4 linked regions of the Daphnia pulex genome follow. Each later gene encodes a partner of the first gene's protein in a complex. Links are inferred from orthologs where the notes say so. Each region holds a gene or a part of one and is shown in the gene's direction. Other genes may lie near its edges.

Region 1 (3,497 bases):
GTTCAGAAAGCTGTTGATTATGGCAAACAGCAGGAAGGGTAAATATAATTTTGTTTTCGAATACAAAGAAAGACACCAGAACTTTGTACTGTTCCCTGAACTGTAGCTGATGGCTTTATTTATTAGGGACAATGCTGCAAAGTTAGCTGCTACAATGGACAAGCTCTTTGTCTTGTTTGGAGTTGAAATTCTGAAAATTGTTCCTGGTCGCGTTTCTACTGAAGTGGACGCCAGGTGGTTGACCACCAGACGTTAACTGCAGAATGATGTCCTAACTTTCGATTTTTGTCCACAGACTTTCTTTCGATAAAGAGGGAAGCGTGAAGAAGGCTCTCAAGCTTATCGAGTTGTACGCTGAAGAAGGTATTGAGAAAGAAAGGGTTCTCATTAAATTGGCCTCGACCTGGGAAGGAATTCAAGCAGCAAAGTATTGATTGAAAGTGTTTTCGCGTTTTTTTCCTATGAGATAATTGTTTTCAATAATTGCCGTCACGCAGGGAACTTGAAGAAAAGCACGATGTTCACTGCAACTTGACGTTGCTGTTTAGCTTCTGCCAGGCAGTTGCGTGCGCCGATGCTGGTGTTACTCTGATCTCTCCTTTCGTTGGTCGCATTTTGGATTGGTAAGAAGGAATTTAAAGACTAATGAGTAATGACATTTTTAAGCGCACCATTTTTATTCTTCATTTCTCTATCTCTAGGTATGTGAGCAACACTTCTACTAAATCGTATGCTCCCGAAGACGATCCTGGAGTTAAATCAGTCACTCAGATCTACAACTATTACAAGAAGTTTGGTTACAAGACCGTAGTCATGGGGGCGTCTTTCCGAAACACCGGTATTTTCTACACAGTTCTGTTTATTAAACGTGGACGCTAGTTAAATTTCAAATTGTTTGATAGGCGAGGTAACTGCTCTTGCTGGATGCGATCTATTAACTATCAGCCCAAAGTTGCTGGAAGAATTGGATGCTAGCAGCGCAAGCGTCACTCGTCAACTTGATGCAGAGCAAGCCAAAACATGCGATCTCGAACGCATTTCTTTGGACGAGAAAGCTTTCCGTTGGATGCTGAATGAAGATCAGATGGCCACCGATAAGCTCAGTGACGGGTATTCTGATTTCCTTATACTTTTTTGTGGGTTAGATAACGATTGGTTAATACTGGTTAAGGATTGTTTCCACAAACAGTGGTTTATTGTTAGATGCATTATAAAAATTCCTGATAAATTTTGGTTAAAAATATTAGGGAACAAACTAATAAATATAACATAAAATAATTTATTTCTATTTTATAGCATCCGTAAGTTTGCGGTCGACGCCGTCAAGTTGGAAACCTTTATCAACGAAAAACTCAACGCTTAAAATTTCTAGATCCTATGAAGATCGATAACTCAACCTTGATTGTTGGTTTTTAAAGCGTAAGAAATGTCATAGATTATTCTTTCAACTGGAAAATGTAGTTATAAGAATTTTACTACTAATTTAAAATTAATCAGCCTACTCTAAGTCTCTATTTGCTATTTGGTGATCAGTTTCAACATTCCGTGGTTCTGCTTCCTATTGAATTACAAAGAAATTAAATGTTTTTTTCCTGTTATAAATTTTCCTCTACTCTACGCAAAAATCGTTTAAGGAAACATCTTTGATTTATTTGGTCTAATGTTATCCGCCGTTACTTTTCAGTTTCAAATATGGTTTAAACTTAAAAGTAAGTAGATAACATAAAGAAATCGGCGAAGAGTTTCAAATGAGATTGTCCGTCTTGTCGCTTTTATCGGATCAGCCGATCAGTAATCCGGATAGACAGACAGGTAAGGAGACACAGGCACAGGGCACAGCAAGCGCCAAGCAGACGTGGAAGATGACGTAAAAGAGTCTTATGCAATGCAACGCTGTACCAAGTTTTCAAAAAGCAGACGACGTTTCAAGCCGACTGTTGTGAATTTGTGATCGTCTTCATGGTCTTCTCTTCCGTACATATTCTAAAAAGAAGCAAATCTCAATTTTACCCTGTACAAGTTATTTTTAAAATTTGTCTTCATCCAGATAATTTGATCAAAGTGAATGTGCATCTTTCTAAACTGATCCAAACTGGTGCCTGGAAAACGTAACCACTTTTGACAGACCATGGACGAATCAACAACTTCTCCTGCTGGGTTCTCTCCTTACGAGATGGATTCCTTAATGAAATATTTTGTCGGAAATAACTGTAAATATCGAGAACAAATCATCATCCCCAGGACAGTCGGTCCAATTCACATCAAAAGTATTGATGAGAAACGCGTAGAAGCAGCCTTTGAATCATGTGCTTTTAAATCACTTGTAGCAAGTGTAATGGGTACTACCAAGAACAATTTGGCAAACTCATTTATTTTTTGATTATAATGTTTTAATAATTTTATTCAGGTTATGGATTGGGGGCTGCATTGGGATTGTTCAGTGCCAGTGTGAGTCCTAATATCACCGCCCCTGATGCACCTCAACAGACAGCCAAAGAAATCTTCAGAGATTTGAAGTTTTCTACACTTAGCTATGCAAAAAATTTTGCTCTTGTTGGTCTTATGTTTTCTGCAGTTGAGTGCACCATTGAATCTGTAAGTAAACACGTTTTCTTTACAATGTAAAACTTGGCGTAATTCCATATTTCATTTTTAGTATCGCGGGAAAGCAGATTGGAAGAACGGAACCTATGTAATTTGTTTCCCTATTTAAGAGAAATTTGTGGAAAGAAATTGAGTGATTCATCTTAAAAACCCATTTCTAAATTATTTTGAATGCAGGCTGGTGGAATTACTGGAGGACTGATTGGTCTTAGAGCTGGACTTAAACCTGGAATTGTAGGGGCACTAGGATTTGCAGCATTCTCTACTGCAATAGACTACTACATGAGACACTGACAATTCAGACAAATAGTTGAAATACAGTTTATTACAAATATTTCAGAATTCCAAATTGGCCTTGGTCATGGTTTCTATAACTTTCTTTTTTTCTTGCTCTGTTTTACAGGTTTTCAAAGCTTCATTTATCTTGTCTTCATGAAATTTCTAGAATGAAAGGATTTATTAGTATGATAATGCAAACTAATTTAAAATTGACACCCAAAAGTAACCTTTAAAAATTTGAAGCACCGCACCATGGTAGCTCCTGTGTAAACACTTTGAAGTTGAACTTTTCTTTTACCAACTGTTGATAGGAATGGAAGTGATGAGGCCAACAGTCTATGTGGGCCATGTCTACATCTGATTATTGCTATTTGTGTGTTTTCATTGCAGTACTTGACTAGATGTCATTAAAAAACACATTAAAGAACACCAATATTAGTACAAAGTTAAGTGTTTTTACTTTCTAAGCCATTTCTAATTGCTGCAGCTCCAAACTCTCCATGGATCTGTTCAGTGACATCAAGGACTGATGCAAGTAAATCATATTTTTTCACATTTAGAGGCTGTGTAGTCGAATCCCCTGGTATAATTTCTGCAGTTAAATATCTGAAATG
Region 2 (4,257 bases), on another chromosome or scaffold:
TGCGAGCAGTATCATCACTGCGGCTCATTGTTTAGAAGAGTATAAGCAATACGTTTTAAATTTCACCAAGAGAAAGTTTGAATGATAATAACCGCAAGATTCACGTACTATATAGGCTTCATCCAATTGGAGTTTGGGCGGTTGCTGGCGAACACAGGTTAGATCTCGTTAGTGGTTATGAACAAGAGCTGAGAGCAGTCCAATTTGTTCTTCACGAAGAATATGACCCAGATTACCTGAGGAATGATATTGGAATAATTCGATTAAATGGAGCCTTCGTATTCAACTCTTACTTGAAACAAGTTAAACTTCCTAGATCCGGCTACTTTACTCATCCAGACACGGCCGTTACGGTCGCAGGTTGGGGAACCACAAAAGTACGCGTTTAATAATAAATTCATTAATTTAAGGCTCATCTCTTTTGAGAACTTTAAGCGCATGAATAATTTAAACTCGAGGATGCTGAAATAAATTCGCTTATGCAGGAAGGAGGGAATTTATCTAATGTGCTACTAAAAACGACAGTTCCTGTGGTATCCGACGAAGACTGCCGCTTAATTTATGGTGCAGGGCTAATTGTTGATTCCATGCTATGCGCTGGATATACATCCGGAGGCTATGATTCGTGTCAGGTATATGCAGAAAATTTAATTCTGATAAGTTAATTTAAGTCTGATATTAAATAATGACACCAAAATTTTACAAAAATATAGGGAGATTCTGGTGGACAGCTCATGTTGGGTGACAAAACTCTTGTTGGTATTGTGTCTTGGGGTAAAGGCTGTGGTCAACCTGATTATCCCGGTAAATTACAACACTTTGCAATAAATTTATTGAATGATCTTGTTGATTTTTCGCTATCTTTTAATAAGGTGTTTACACCGAAGTTTCGGCTTATATCGGATGGATTAATATGAAATTATCAACGGCGGAAGCTTCCACAACAACACAAACATCTCGTAATTGAATAATTAATAAAATGTGGCTAAATTTTAAAATAAAAAAATGGGCACGCAAATCTAACGATAAACATACGTAATTATTTTTGTACAATATTGAAATATCAAATATGAGAGAAACTTTGCTATCTGAATAAAATGTATGTAAATCAAATTTTCAAAAGGCAACAAACTTTCATTTTGCGTTACTAGTGAACACATGGTCCAATCCAATCCAATCCAAGGAAAACATCTGGTGGGGCGTCCATAATCCTACTTTTTTGCGTTATCGAAAAAAGGTAGCGTGGATGAATTTTGAAAAGTTTATTCCCCAATACTCCCAATAAACCCGTTTGTGTAGGCCTAATTAGAGAAAGCGAGAGAAAGAAAACGTACGGTACTTGATCGGACATTGGAGATCAAGATCCACATGAAAACGTATGCAAACATATTGATATCGTTGCATTTTGATCGACTGACAATATTTTGCCTTATTTATTTATGATATGGGAATATCTGCGCGATTGTGAGTTGATTGTGGAAGAAAAAATTGAAACACTTTATCCGTTTACCAATAGATGTCGAAAAATACGTCGTCTGCAGAACGTTATTTTCAAAACACGGCGAGACCTGAACCGCCTGAACTTCAACATGGCAAGGATCGTTCGCATTTTCAAAACCCTGCGAAATAATTGGAAGAAATCAACCGTTGGTTTTCTCCTCGTTTCTTATGGAGTAAACTATGGCGTCACAAAATTCAGGTACTCATAGAAGTGAAATGTATTTTACCAATGATTATGTCTTAAAATATTTCTCCCATTGGTGCAGGACTAAAGAGATGTTGAGACTTTATTGTGAGGAAGCTAAAAGCTATGGGGATGTTCCACTTCCTATAGGACTACCTGCTCGCCAAATAACTGTAGTGTTGAATCCCGCTTCAAATGGAGGGTGCTGCACTTAATATTTTCTCAAATCACTTTGACGTTTTTAAAAGTTAATTTTAAATGTGTATAGGAAAGGCAAATCAGAATTTGAGGATTATTGTGCTCCATTACTTTATCTTTCTGGAATGAAGGTTTGAGTCTCATTATTTATTTTTGTTTGACCTTAATAAGTTCTCATTCTCTATTCCAGGTCAGTGTGGTCAAAACTGAATCTGTTGGAGAAGCCAGGGGATTGATGGAAGTGATGGATAACTGTGATGCAGTAGTTGTTGCTGGTGGAGATGGAGCCATAACAGAAGCTGTAACTGGATTGCTGAGAAGGAATGATAGTGGGTTAGCAGTCCAACGATTTCCTATTGGTATCACAATGAATTATATATTTCCCTAAACATTTTGTTTGAAAATATGTTTCTTCTCCAGGTATCATCCCTGTAGGAAAACTCAATAACATTGCAAAATCTATCTTTAAAGAACATAAAGGTATGCAATATTTTGATGGTTTAAAAATGCAGCTTTTAATTGATTCTACTATTACCCCTTGGTCTCTTTTCAGATGATAGAATCAAACTCATGGCTGAAGCAACTATGGCAATAATAAGAGACTTTCAAAAACAGGTAGATGTTATGAAGGTAGAAATATTGGAAAATTCAGAAAATCCTACTGGAAAACCAGTTTACGCACTTGGTGAACTGAAATGGGGAGCATTTCGAGATGTCGAGGAAAGAATTGGGAAATACTGGTTGTGGGGACCACTGAAGTCATATGCCGCCTATTTCTTTGGAGCTTTCAAAAATCTCACGTGGGAGTGCAATGCACAGTTTCACTATACCGTACCGTGTGAGGGTTGTAATAACTGTATGAGAAACAATTTGCAAGATGCAAATGAGCTGAAATTTGGTTCGCAAGTACAGAATTCTCGATGGTGGCATGCTTTTATACCACGAACTAGATCCGTCAAAGGTAATTGTATTCCTTTTATCAGGTCATTCACGTTATCTTAACATATTATTTACAAATTTCTCTAGATACAAAACAAGTCAAAGATTATTCAAAAGTTGTTAATCCCGAATGTGGGGTATGGCATCAGAAGGATTTCTCATCCGTAGAGTTCCAAGTTCTAACCGAAAACAATGTAAATTTCAGTCCTCCAAATCTACCGAAACATTTGGAAGTCAATCTTGGTAAAACATCTTTTAAATAGCTGAAACCTGTGAGTGATAATTAAAAAAAAAATTCACTCTCTCACTTAGGACCTGAAAATATAAGTGGATTTGAGTTCGTGAAAGAGGGTTGGTTAAGGACCAAAACAGAGACCAGTCAAAATAATCGCGAAAAGATTCTCGTACGCCAATTTGAAATGATCCCTAAAATTGAAGAAAGTTCGATAGCGGAAAAGGAAACAACTGAAGAGGGAAAAAGTGTTGAAGTTGAAGAAAGGTGGTATTCGATAGACAATGACAACTACGAAGTTAAACCAATTCGAGTCACCGTTTTACCAGACGCCATTAAAGTTTTTAGCGCATCTACCAGTAGATAAATTGTATTTATAAGAAAATAAAACAATTTATATAGCTTTCACAATTCATTTTTTAATCTTGATCCCGATAAAGAAGGACCTTTAGATATTTTCTTTCTCACTTTCTTCTTTTCGACATTTTCGGGTAAAGGATCTGGTTTCTTTCGATTTGCCTCTGCGTATGGATTAAAATAATTTGATTCTCGTTCGACCAAATTTAATTCTTGCGCAACCTGCAATATTTTCAAATGTCAAGCATTAAGAAGATGAATAACACTAGAATGGTTTGATTAAAGAAACATTGAAATTTACCAAGTGCAGCATTTTCTTTGTTGCAGTGCTCAAAAAGACAGACTGTTGACAAATACTTAAACTCCATTTGAATATGGTATTCCATTCATTATTTTTAAGAAACGCTTTTGTTGCATCAGGTAAATAGAGCACAAGATCCCCCATAAATGCAGTATTTTCTATCATGCTTGACAGAGCTATTTTAAAATGCCTCATCATCATTAGCTATAATTTCAGAATAATAAAACCAATAAATAATACCATCACGAAGAGATTCATCTTGAGGAAAATCAGATTCTGGAAGATAGCCAGAGCTTTCCAGCTTGATTCTACTATGAGTTAGAACCTACAAAAACTTGAATTAATTACAGCCTTTTTCCGTTTTCTGAAATGTTAGTCTAACAACCTCCATGATTTTGGTTATGACAAGTTCCAGAAGCTTGCGTTGTTTTTCAATTGATTTGACTTCTGCAATCCGTTGAACTGCATCTTTCTGTTCACTTCTTTTAAGTTGGAACAATCTATCAACTAATGGAGACACAATTGAAAAGGCATGAATAACCAAGA
Region 3 (2,939 bases), on another chromosome or scaffold:
TTCCCTCTATACCTTTTTTACTCAACGATGGCCTTATAGGGCACACGTTGAATCATGGTCTCTAATCCGGTTTCTCTCGGCCATTTTCAATTGCCTTATTTAATCAAAACTTTCATAGCACCTAAATTTCATTTCATATTTATTCCTGCGTTAATTCTGTGACTAACTGTGATTCTCAGTTTGACCTTGACCTTGAACTCTTGAGACGGATGGAAAATCTCCAGCAGACAGAGATTTCCCCAGGTCAAGAGTCAAAAGAGGTCGCATGAGGTCGTTCAACCGTTCCGCCAATGGAAGAAAGTTGTGTGAGAAAAACTTTCGTGGCCTGTAGGAAAGGTCCATGGATTAGTACAACGTTAATAAAGAGAGCACAAGACCAACTGTTGTTGGCTGTGCCAAGCTCTGGGCCATGACGTCACATCCGCCTAGCGGGAAAGAAAAGAAACGGCCACAACGGGCTTACCGCAACAAGAGGGGAATATAATACAAGCTAAAGAATAAACCGATAAAAACGAAACAACTTCCCTTGGAGCGTGAATTTTTTCTTCTTCCAGTCGCACACACAATCGAGGAATAAAAAAAAAGGGCCTTACAATCGAGAGCCTTACGGCATTGGGCCACTAAAGTCCCATTTGTTGTTGTTGTTTTCGTGTGGAAAACTCTCAAGGCTACGGTGAAAGGAACCGTGACGCCATCTTGCGGCTTGCCCATTCGAAAGGGAAACAATTCAAAAGAATCGCACCGTCCATCTCACCAGGAAGTCGTCACGATTTCTGACTTTACGGCAATTTGACACAATATAATACAAAAATTGAATTAAAAACAATATCGACGTTTGATCAAAACATTTTCTTTTTTAAAAGAAATGACGCGACCCGTCAAATTTTAATTGTCCTCATTTCGGCTGAAAGCAGTTCAAAATTCCGAAAAAGACCTTGATTGAAATTCACAACTTGTACGGTGACGTAACTATAATACGGTCCTTGTGACACATCACGCGAAGACTTATTAAAACAAAAAACAAGGTGCACCATGTCTGAACGTTCTCAGGTTTATAGATTGTCCTACCTGCGTGCGGAATCTTGAGTGGATCCCGGACGTCACGAGGAGATCTTCAACACCTCCAAAAGTTTTTCCTTAAAAACAAAAGAAGGAAAAAGATATATAATAAGTTATTTTTAAAATTCCAAGCACATCTGGAAGTCAGACAAAGACCCAGGTATGACCTCTCTTCTTCTTCTGCATCTCATTTTCCAAAAAGAAATAAAACAATGGTTACAATTTTACGACATTGCTTATTAGCATGCAACTCTCGTCGACTACCTCACGAGGGAATAAAATTGTTTGAATGATGGGAGGTCTGGCAACAACTTATGGGGTAGAATCATCAATGAAGCCCCGGGGCCACTTTTTCCTCTTGCATCTATCTATCGTCATAAAAATGATCGAAATGATCTTACCTCACGCTGCCGGCACCACGAATTCACTCACACGCAACGAAAAGATCTTGAATTCACCCGCGAAACACACTCACGAAGCACAGTGAATCGAACTGACGACAAGGTTTTATTAGTGTTTTTCAAAGCCAAGCTGCCTTGGCGACCGTTGAGTGCGTCGACTGTTCAAAACTGATGTAAACACTGAAGTCACCAATGAGTTCTTGCTTCCTACGCCAGGTGGCAGCTAGTGTCTGAAATCACACGAGGAAAATGTCGTCTGCTTTCACACTTTTCTAAAATCTAAAATGACTTCCGAAGCAATTGACGCCGCTAAAATTGAGGCGGAACAAATCAAATCGGTAACTTATTCGGCTATTATTTTTGTCTATTTGTATAAGTGGAAATAACGATTGTTTTCTTGTTCTCAAATCTGTTGATTGCAAGTCATTTTTTTACATTTGCTAAATGATCAAGTCACGTTGCTTCAACTGGAGATATTTTCTTACGTGCATATTATATTGGTCTTTCTTCGAACGACTGTGACGTATGGATTAAATTTGCATAACTTTTTTTCTTACCCTTTGTACAGTTCCGAGATTTTCTCTTCTCCTACAACAAACTTTCTGAGCTATGCTTTGTGGACTGTGTGTGGGACTTCACTTCGAGGACCATCAAAGACCAAGAAGTAAAAAACCAGAATTTTGTATTATTTGCAAGGTAATTATTATTGTTTTTGTTTCAGAATTCCTGTGCAGTTAATTGTGCTGAAAAGTTCCTGAAGGCTAACCAAAGGATATCTCAGTGTTTTCAAGAGTTTCAAGTCCTATCTAATGAAAATGCATTGGCAATGGCTAAAAAGTAAATCAAATCTAATGTGTGTATGTAGGTTTTCAATAAACATTTAATCCATTCAAACTATGAGGGATTCTCCTTTTCACACCAGTTCTGACGGTTCTTCCTGTTGCGTTGTTAACACGGTACTTAACATATGTGTCCATGTGACCCAATACAGGGTGTTGTACTATTCTCATTGCCGTTGTGATTTGAGGAAAAATTTGTCGAGTAGAGGTCGTTCACTTGAGGCTAGTCGAGTATGGTTGTCATTATTTACGGTACAAGATAGATAGAATCAATGGGAAACGCATATCCCTTTCTGTATTCATCTTGTACAAAAGAAACACCTCAAAACTTTCTACACCGGAATGCCAGCAGTATCCTTTCTCAAAGCAAAAATAGAAGGAAACTTAATATATTTCATTCGGAACTTGTTGGTTTGCAACGGGATTCGGCGAGGGGTGTGTTTTATTTCATCACCGGAAACACAAAAAGAAAAAAGCGTCGTCTTGTATCGACCGTCCTTGGTGCTGAAACAGTCCTTGCATTCGAAAGAGGTGGTCTATGGCGTTCGGAATAAATAATTTCAAGTGTTTACTTATTAGCAGTCAAGTAATCATGCCTTTGGAATGGTTGGAGCATACCCCTTGTTGCTACCTGTAATTC
Region 4 (3,939 bases), about 3.4 Mb from region 1:
GCCACCGACTCGCTTCAGCGGCTGCAAAAGACGCTGCGACACGGACAGAGAAAGTACCCGCCTCATCAGGTGGAAGTGGAAGCCATCCAGCACAAAACGACGCAAATCTTTCACAAAGTTTATTTCCCCGACGACACGGACGAGGTGAATACTCGGAATTTTCTTTTTTCCCCTCTCACTTTGAGTGTCAACAACATCGTTTCAATTTCATTGGGTTGTTTTATATTTTCTGTTCTCTTTTCAATGTTTTTATGCGCAATTCCAGGCCTTTGAAGTCGATTCTTCCACCAGAGCTAAAGACTTTTGCCAAAGCATCTCGCAGCGACTGGCACTCAAGTCGGACGAAGGTTTCAGTCTCTTTGTCAAGATTGCCGACAAGGTCATTTCGGTGCCCGAAGAAGACTTTTTCTTTGATTTCGTCCGCCACTTGACGGACTGGATCAAAAAGGCCAAACCGACCAAAGACGGTAACGTTCACATCGTCTACAATTTTATCGTTATCCCTTTTTCTTTATTATATGTTTATGGCCTGGACAGGTATCACGCCTCAATTCACCTACCAAGTGTTTTTCATGAAGAAACTGTGGACCAACACCGTGCCGGGCAAAGACCGCAACGCCGATACCATCTTCCATTTCCACCAAGAGTTGCCTAAACTGCTGAGAGGCTATCACCGCTGCAACAAGGACGAAGCCATCCGTCTGGCCGCTTTCATTTACCGCGTCCGCTTCGGCGAGAGCAAAGCCGAGCTGGCCAACGTGCCGCAAATGCTACGCGACCTGGTCCCGGCCGATCTGATCAAACTTTTAGGCAACAATGATTGGAAGAAAACTATCACGGCTGCTCACGCTCAAGATTCAGGTTTGACATTTGATTGAATGATTGACTTGATTCCATTTGGTGTTGACGCCACATCGTTTTGAATTGAACATTTTAGGAATGAGTGCCGAAGACGCCAAGATCAACTTTCTAAAGATTATTTACCGCTGGCCAACGTTTGGTTCGGCCTTCTTCGAAGTCAAACAAACGACCGAGCCCAATTTCCCCGAACAGCTTTTGATTGCCATCAACAAAAGCGGAGTCTGTCTGATCCATCCACAGACTAAGGTGAATATCGCACACCCGCCATTATCTTTCTTTTTTGAACTCGGAATTAACATTTGTTCGTGTTCTAGGACATTTTGGTGACTCACCCGTTCACGCGCATCTCCAACTGGTCTTCGGGCAACACTTACTTCCACATGACTATCGGCAACCTGGTGCGAGGATCGAAATTGCTGTGCGAAACCTCGCTCGGCTACAAGATGGACGACTTGCTCACCTCCTACATCTCCTTGATGTTGAATACCATGAACAAGCAAAAGTCCATGCGGCTCTAATAATTTGCTCGCTCTTATTCTTCACCATTTTATCCCATTCAAACGAGAACGTAAATGTTGGCTATCGAGATGAGCTTCGTTCCTTTGGTCAGTTTATAGATTGATTTTCCATCACGAGAATTAGCAACTTTGTGAATAGTTTCTGAATTTTGCGATATTTTGCCACTACCTAGTTTTCCGTGTTTTTTTTTGAATTATTTTTAATTGACACCGGGGTCATCTGCTTTTGACGGGGTCTACTATTGTCAATGCATGCTTCGCTAGCTCTCCTCAAAAGCAAGGAACGATCCCGTTTCCCCTTTGCAGTTTTCATCGCCCTCATAATCGTCTTTTAACAAATTTATGTATATGTTATTTGAAAAATGAAGAATTATAATAAAGCATTTTACACTCGAAATCAATAGATAAACAAGTAAATTAATTTTTAAATTTTTTTAAACAAAATACGGATATGTTGACGTTTCGGCTAATGTGGCAACCCGGTGAGCCATATGTTTTGCAGACGACATGAATTGTCAATTTGTGGAAAGTAATTCGAAATGGATGCACTCAGGAACGTAAGTTTTTAGAAAATGTATTTGAATTGTAATTAATGCCAGAAAGTTAATTGATCTCTTCTTCCTAGTTTAAAGATTTTCTCTTAGTGTTCAACAAAATGTCAGAAACTTGTTTCACGCGATGCGTGAACACATTTCAGACTAGAGAGCTGACTGAAGATGAGGTAGGCTAAGAACATGAGGTTTCTCTTTCATAACATATCAGACCAATAGTTATTTTTTTGTTTTTGCTTTTTTTTAGGATAAATGTGTTGAAATGTGCTCAACGAAGAACATTAGAGTCAACCATAAAATCATGTCTGTGTATATGGAAGTTCAACCTCTAATTGTGCAAAAGCGAGTGGAAGAGATGGAGAAACTTAACCCACCACAAGCAGTCGCAGAAACTATTCCTGAAGTTGCTGAAATTAACACAGTTGCACAGTCAGTCATAATAGCAGAAACTGAGCCTCAACATGTTTCACAAGAGACCTCATCTTTAGAGCCTCAAGTTGTGTAAAATAGTGACACATACCAACAGGACAGAAATGAATCAGTGTTATTGCATTGTGGTGTTACTAGGTTTGCCTGCCAGTGGAAAGAGCTGGTTAGCAGGAAGATTATGTAGTTTTTTAACAGAAAACAATTGCATTGTGAATTGTGCAACTTTTGATACTATTGTGAGTTTAGAAAAACAGGCTGAAATTGCTGTTTCGTCATCTAGTGAAATAACAAAGCATTACCGTCGCGAGATGAAAGACACTGTGGAGTCTTTCTTGAAAGTGCCCAATCCTTCTTCCAAAAAGTGTGTCGTAATTGTTGATGATAACAACTACTATCGAAGTATGCGGTATGAATATCATCAGTTAGCGGCCAAATTCTACACAGGCTACCTTCAAATTTATGTCAAATGCGAAGTGTCTGAAGCGTTACTCCAAAACAACAGTCGTCCGCAAAGCAGCCGTGTTCCTGACATTGTAATCACTCAAATGAACACCAAATTTGAAGATCCCTGTGAAGCGTGGGAAAATTCTTTGACGATTGGACACATTGATTTAAATGATACAGAAATATTGAACAAGATATGGAATTACATCCAGAATGCTGTGGATAGTCCTGTCTCAACATTGAAGACTCTAGAAGAAAAGAAGCTTGCGTCCGAGCAAAGCAAACTACGCAACGATCACAACATCTTTCACAATATCGACAAAGTTCTTAGAAAAAGATTAAACCAATGTATACGCGAACGTAAAGAAGAAAAAGACGCTCGTGTATTGGCAGCACAACTAAACGACACTCGACAATCTATTTTGGAAGGGATCAAAACAGGCGCCATTGCAATCCCGACAGACATTCTGAAGGCGGATGGATCCATCGATTTATCTATCCTTGAGGTTTGGTCCATTTCAGCTTTTATCCAGAGGTGTCCGTTATAACATGGACATGATTTGGTCATACTAGAATACAATTTGTTAAAAATAGCTGAAATAATAATAAACAACACAATAGAGATCACCTCTTCCTTTTTCTCTTGTTCCTGAGCAACAAGTTTTGAAAGAGCCATCTGAAATCTTTGCTTGAGGGCGGCGTTTTCAATTGTAGCTAGCTCGTTTTCTTGAGCTTGTCTCATGTTCTTGATCTCACGGATTTCATCCCTCAGTTTATCAGCCATTTTTTGCAAATCGTCTTAACGACAAATGATATTAATTTTTAAAGCAGAAAAACAAATTTGAAATGTTTACCTTTTTGTGTGTCGATGACCTTTTTTTGTGGAGATAGATTAGAAGAACTGCTGTCATCCCGAAACATATCTCCGCTAAATTGGGTTATCATAGAATTGGACCCCTAAAAAAGAGAATGTAACAACTATCGAAACAAATTTAATTATTTTAAATTTGGTACCCTGTTGCTTCCTGCATAGAACTCCGAACCCGATCCACGGGATTCGTCACTGTTTTCGTAGTCTGATTCCATAATGTTGATCTTGCTTCCATGTTCTTCATCTGAGTCGCTTAGTGCCTCAC

What was found.
Region 2: mitochondrial import inner membrane translocase subunit Tim22-like (region 1) and acylglycerol kinase, mitochondrial-like share a complex: the UniProt entries of both Homo sapiens proteins name them as parts of the TIM22 complex. The link is inferred for Daphnia pulex from reciprocal best matches to the Homo sapiens genes TIMM22 and AGK.
Region 3: the proteins of mitochondrial import inner membrane translocase subunit Tim22-like (region 1) and mitochondrial import inner membrane translocase subunit Tim9-like are in contact, whole or in part, in a cryo-EM structure (PDB 7CGP), measured with the Homo sapiens proteins. The link is inferred for Daphnia pulex from reciprocal best matches to the Homo sapiens genes TIMM22 and TIMM9. Residues at the interface, in NP_037469.2 of Homo sapiens: Asp35, Arg37, Gln38, Pro39, Arg40, Leu42, Gly45, Ser46, Leu47, Gly49, Ile50, Ser52, Pro53, Lys60; in NP_001291414.1 of Homo sapiens: Gln13, Glu16, Phe17, Thr20, Leu57, Thr60, Gln61, Met65, Phe67, His71, Gln74, Asn75, Leu78, Lys81.
Region 4: mitochondrial import inner membrane translocase subunit Tim22-like (region 1) and mitochondrial import inner membrane translocase subunit Tim10 B-like share a complex: the UniProt entries of both Homo sapiens proteins name them as parts of the TIM22 complex. The link is inferred for Daphnia pulex from reciprocal best matches to the Homo sapiens genes TIMM22 and TIMM10B.

Annotation. Positions count from the first base shown.
Region 1 is NC_060022.1:5,354,827-5,358,323, reverse strand, and holds mitochondrial import inner membrane translocase subunit Tim22-like, read left to right. Parts: upstream 1-1,689; 5' UTR 1,690-2,128; coding exon 2,129-2,339; intron 2,340-2,407; coding exon 2,408-2,595; intron 2,596-2,656; coding exon 2,657-2,692; intron 2,693-2,781; coding exon 2,782-2,898; 3' UTR 2,899-2,938; downstream 2,939-3,497. Other genes in the region: transaldolase-like, read left to right, coding at 1-38, 127-234, 296-427, 498-623, 702-838, 903-1,110, 1,297-1,363; ribonuclease P/MRP protein subunit POP5-like, read right to left, coding at 2,941-3,045, 3,111-3,280, 3,344-3,489. UniProt on the Homo sapiens protein: Essential core component of the TIM22 complex, a complex that mediates the import and insertion of multi-pass transmembrane proteins into the mitochondrial inner membrane. In the TIM22 complex, it constitutes the voltage-activated and signal-gated channel.
Region 2 is NC_060017.1:2,650,836-2,655,092, reverse strand, and holds acylglycerol kinase, mitochondrial-like, read left to right. Parts: upstream 1-1,353; 5' UTR 1,354-1,368; coding exon 1,369-1,376; intron 1,377-1,516; coding exon 1,517-1,699; intron 1,700-1,766; coding exon 1,767-1,886; intron 1,887-1,952; coding exon 1,953-2,013; intron 2,014-2,072; coding exon 2,073-2,241; intron 2,242-2,302; coding exon 2,303-2,362; intron 2,363-2,435; coding exon 2,436-2,843; intron 2,844-2,908; coding exon 2,909-3,064; intron 3,065-3,133; coding exon 3,134-3,420; 3' UTR 3,421-3,458; downstream 3,459-4,257. Other genes in the region: trypsin-1-like, read left to right, coding at 1-39, 116-377, 486-632, 714-804, 873-967; coiled-coil domain-containing protein 134-like, read right to left, coding at 3,459-3,632, 3,712-3,887, 3,952-4,036, 4,097-4,218. UniProt on the Homo sapiens protein: Lipid kinase that can phosphorylate both monoacylglycerol and diacylglycerol to form lysophosphatidic acid (LPA) and phosphatidic acid (PA), respectively. Does not phosphorylate sphingosine. Phosphorylates ceramide.
Region 3 is NC_060017.1:2,955,107-2,958,045, forward strand, and holds mitochondrial import inner membrane translocase subunit Tim9-like, read left to right. Parts: upstream 1-1,643; 5' UTR 1,644-1,744; coding exon 1,745-1,798; intron 1,799-2,028; coding exon 2,029-2,124; intron 2,125-2,181; coding exon 2,182-2,301; 3' UTR 2,302-2,354; downstream 2,355-2,939. UniProt on the Homo sapiens protein: Mitochondrial intermembrane chaperone that participates in the import and insertion of multi-pass transmembrane proteins into the mitochondrial inner membrane.
Region 4 is NC_060022.1:1,979,198-1,983,136, forward strand, and holds mitochondrial import inner membrane translocase subunit Tim10 B-like, read left to right. Parts: upstream 1-1,827; 5' UTR 1,828-1,918; coding exon 1,919-1,936; intron 1,937-2,004; coding exon 2,005-2,100; intron 2,101-2,177; coding exon 2,178-2,435; 3' UTR 2,436-2,463; coding exon of another isoform or gene 2,464-3,372; 3' UTR 3,373-3,430; downstream 3,431-3,939. Other genes in the region: myosin-VIIa-like, read left to right, coding at 1-144, 266-467, 538-861, 938-1,107, 1,176-1,379; L-seryl-tRNA(Sec) kinase-like, read left to right, coding at 2,464-3,351; transcription initiation factor TFIID subunit 7-like, read right to left, coding at 3,346-3,372, 3,432-3,601, 3,658-3,760, 3,818-3,939. UniProt on the Homo sapiens protein: Component of the TIM22 complex, a complex that mediates the import and insertion of multi-pass transmembrane proteins into the mitochondrial inner membrane.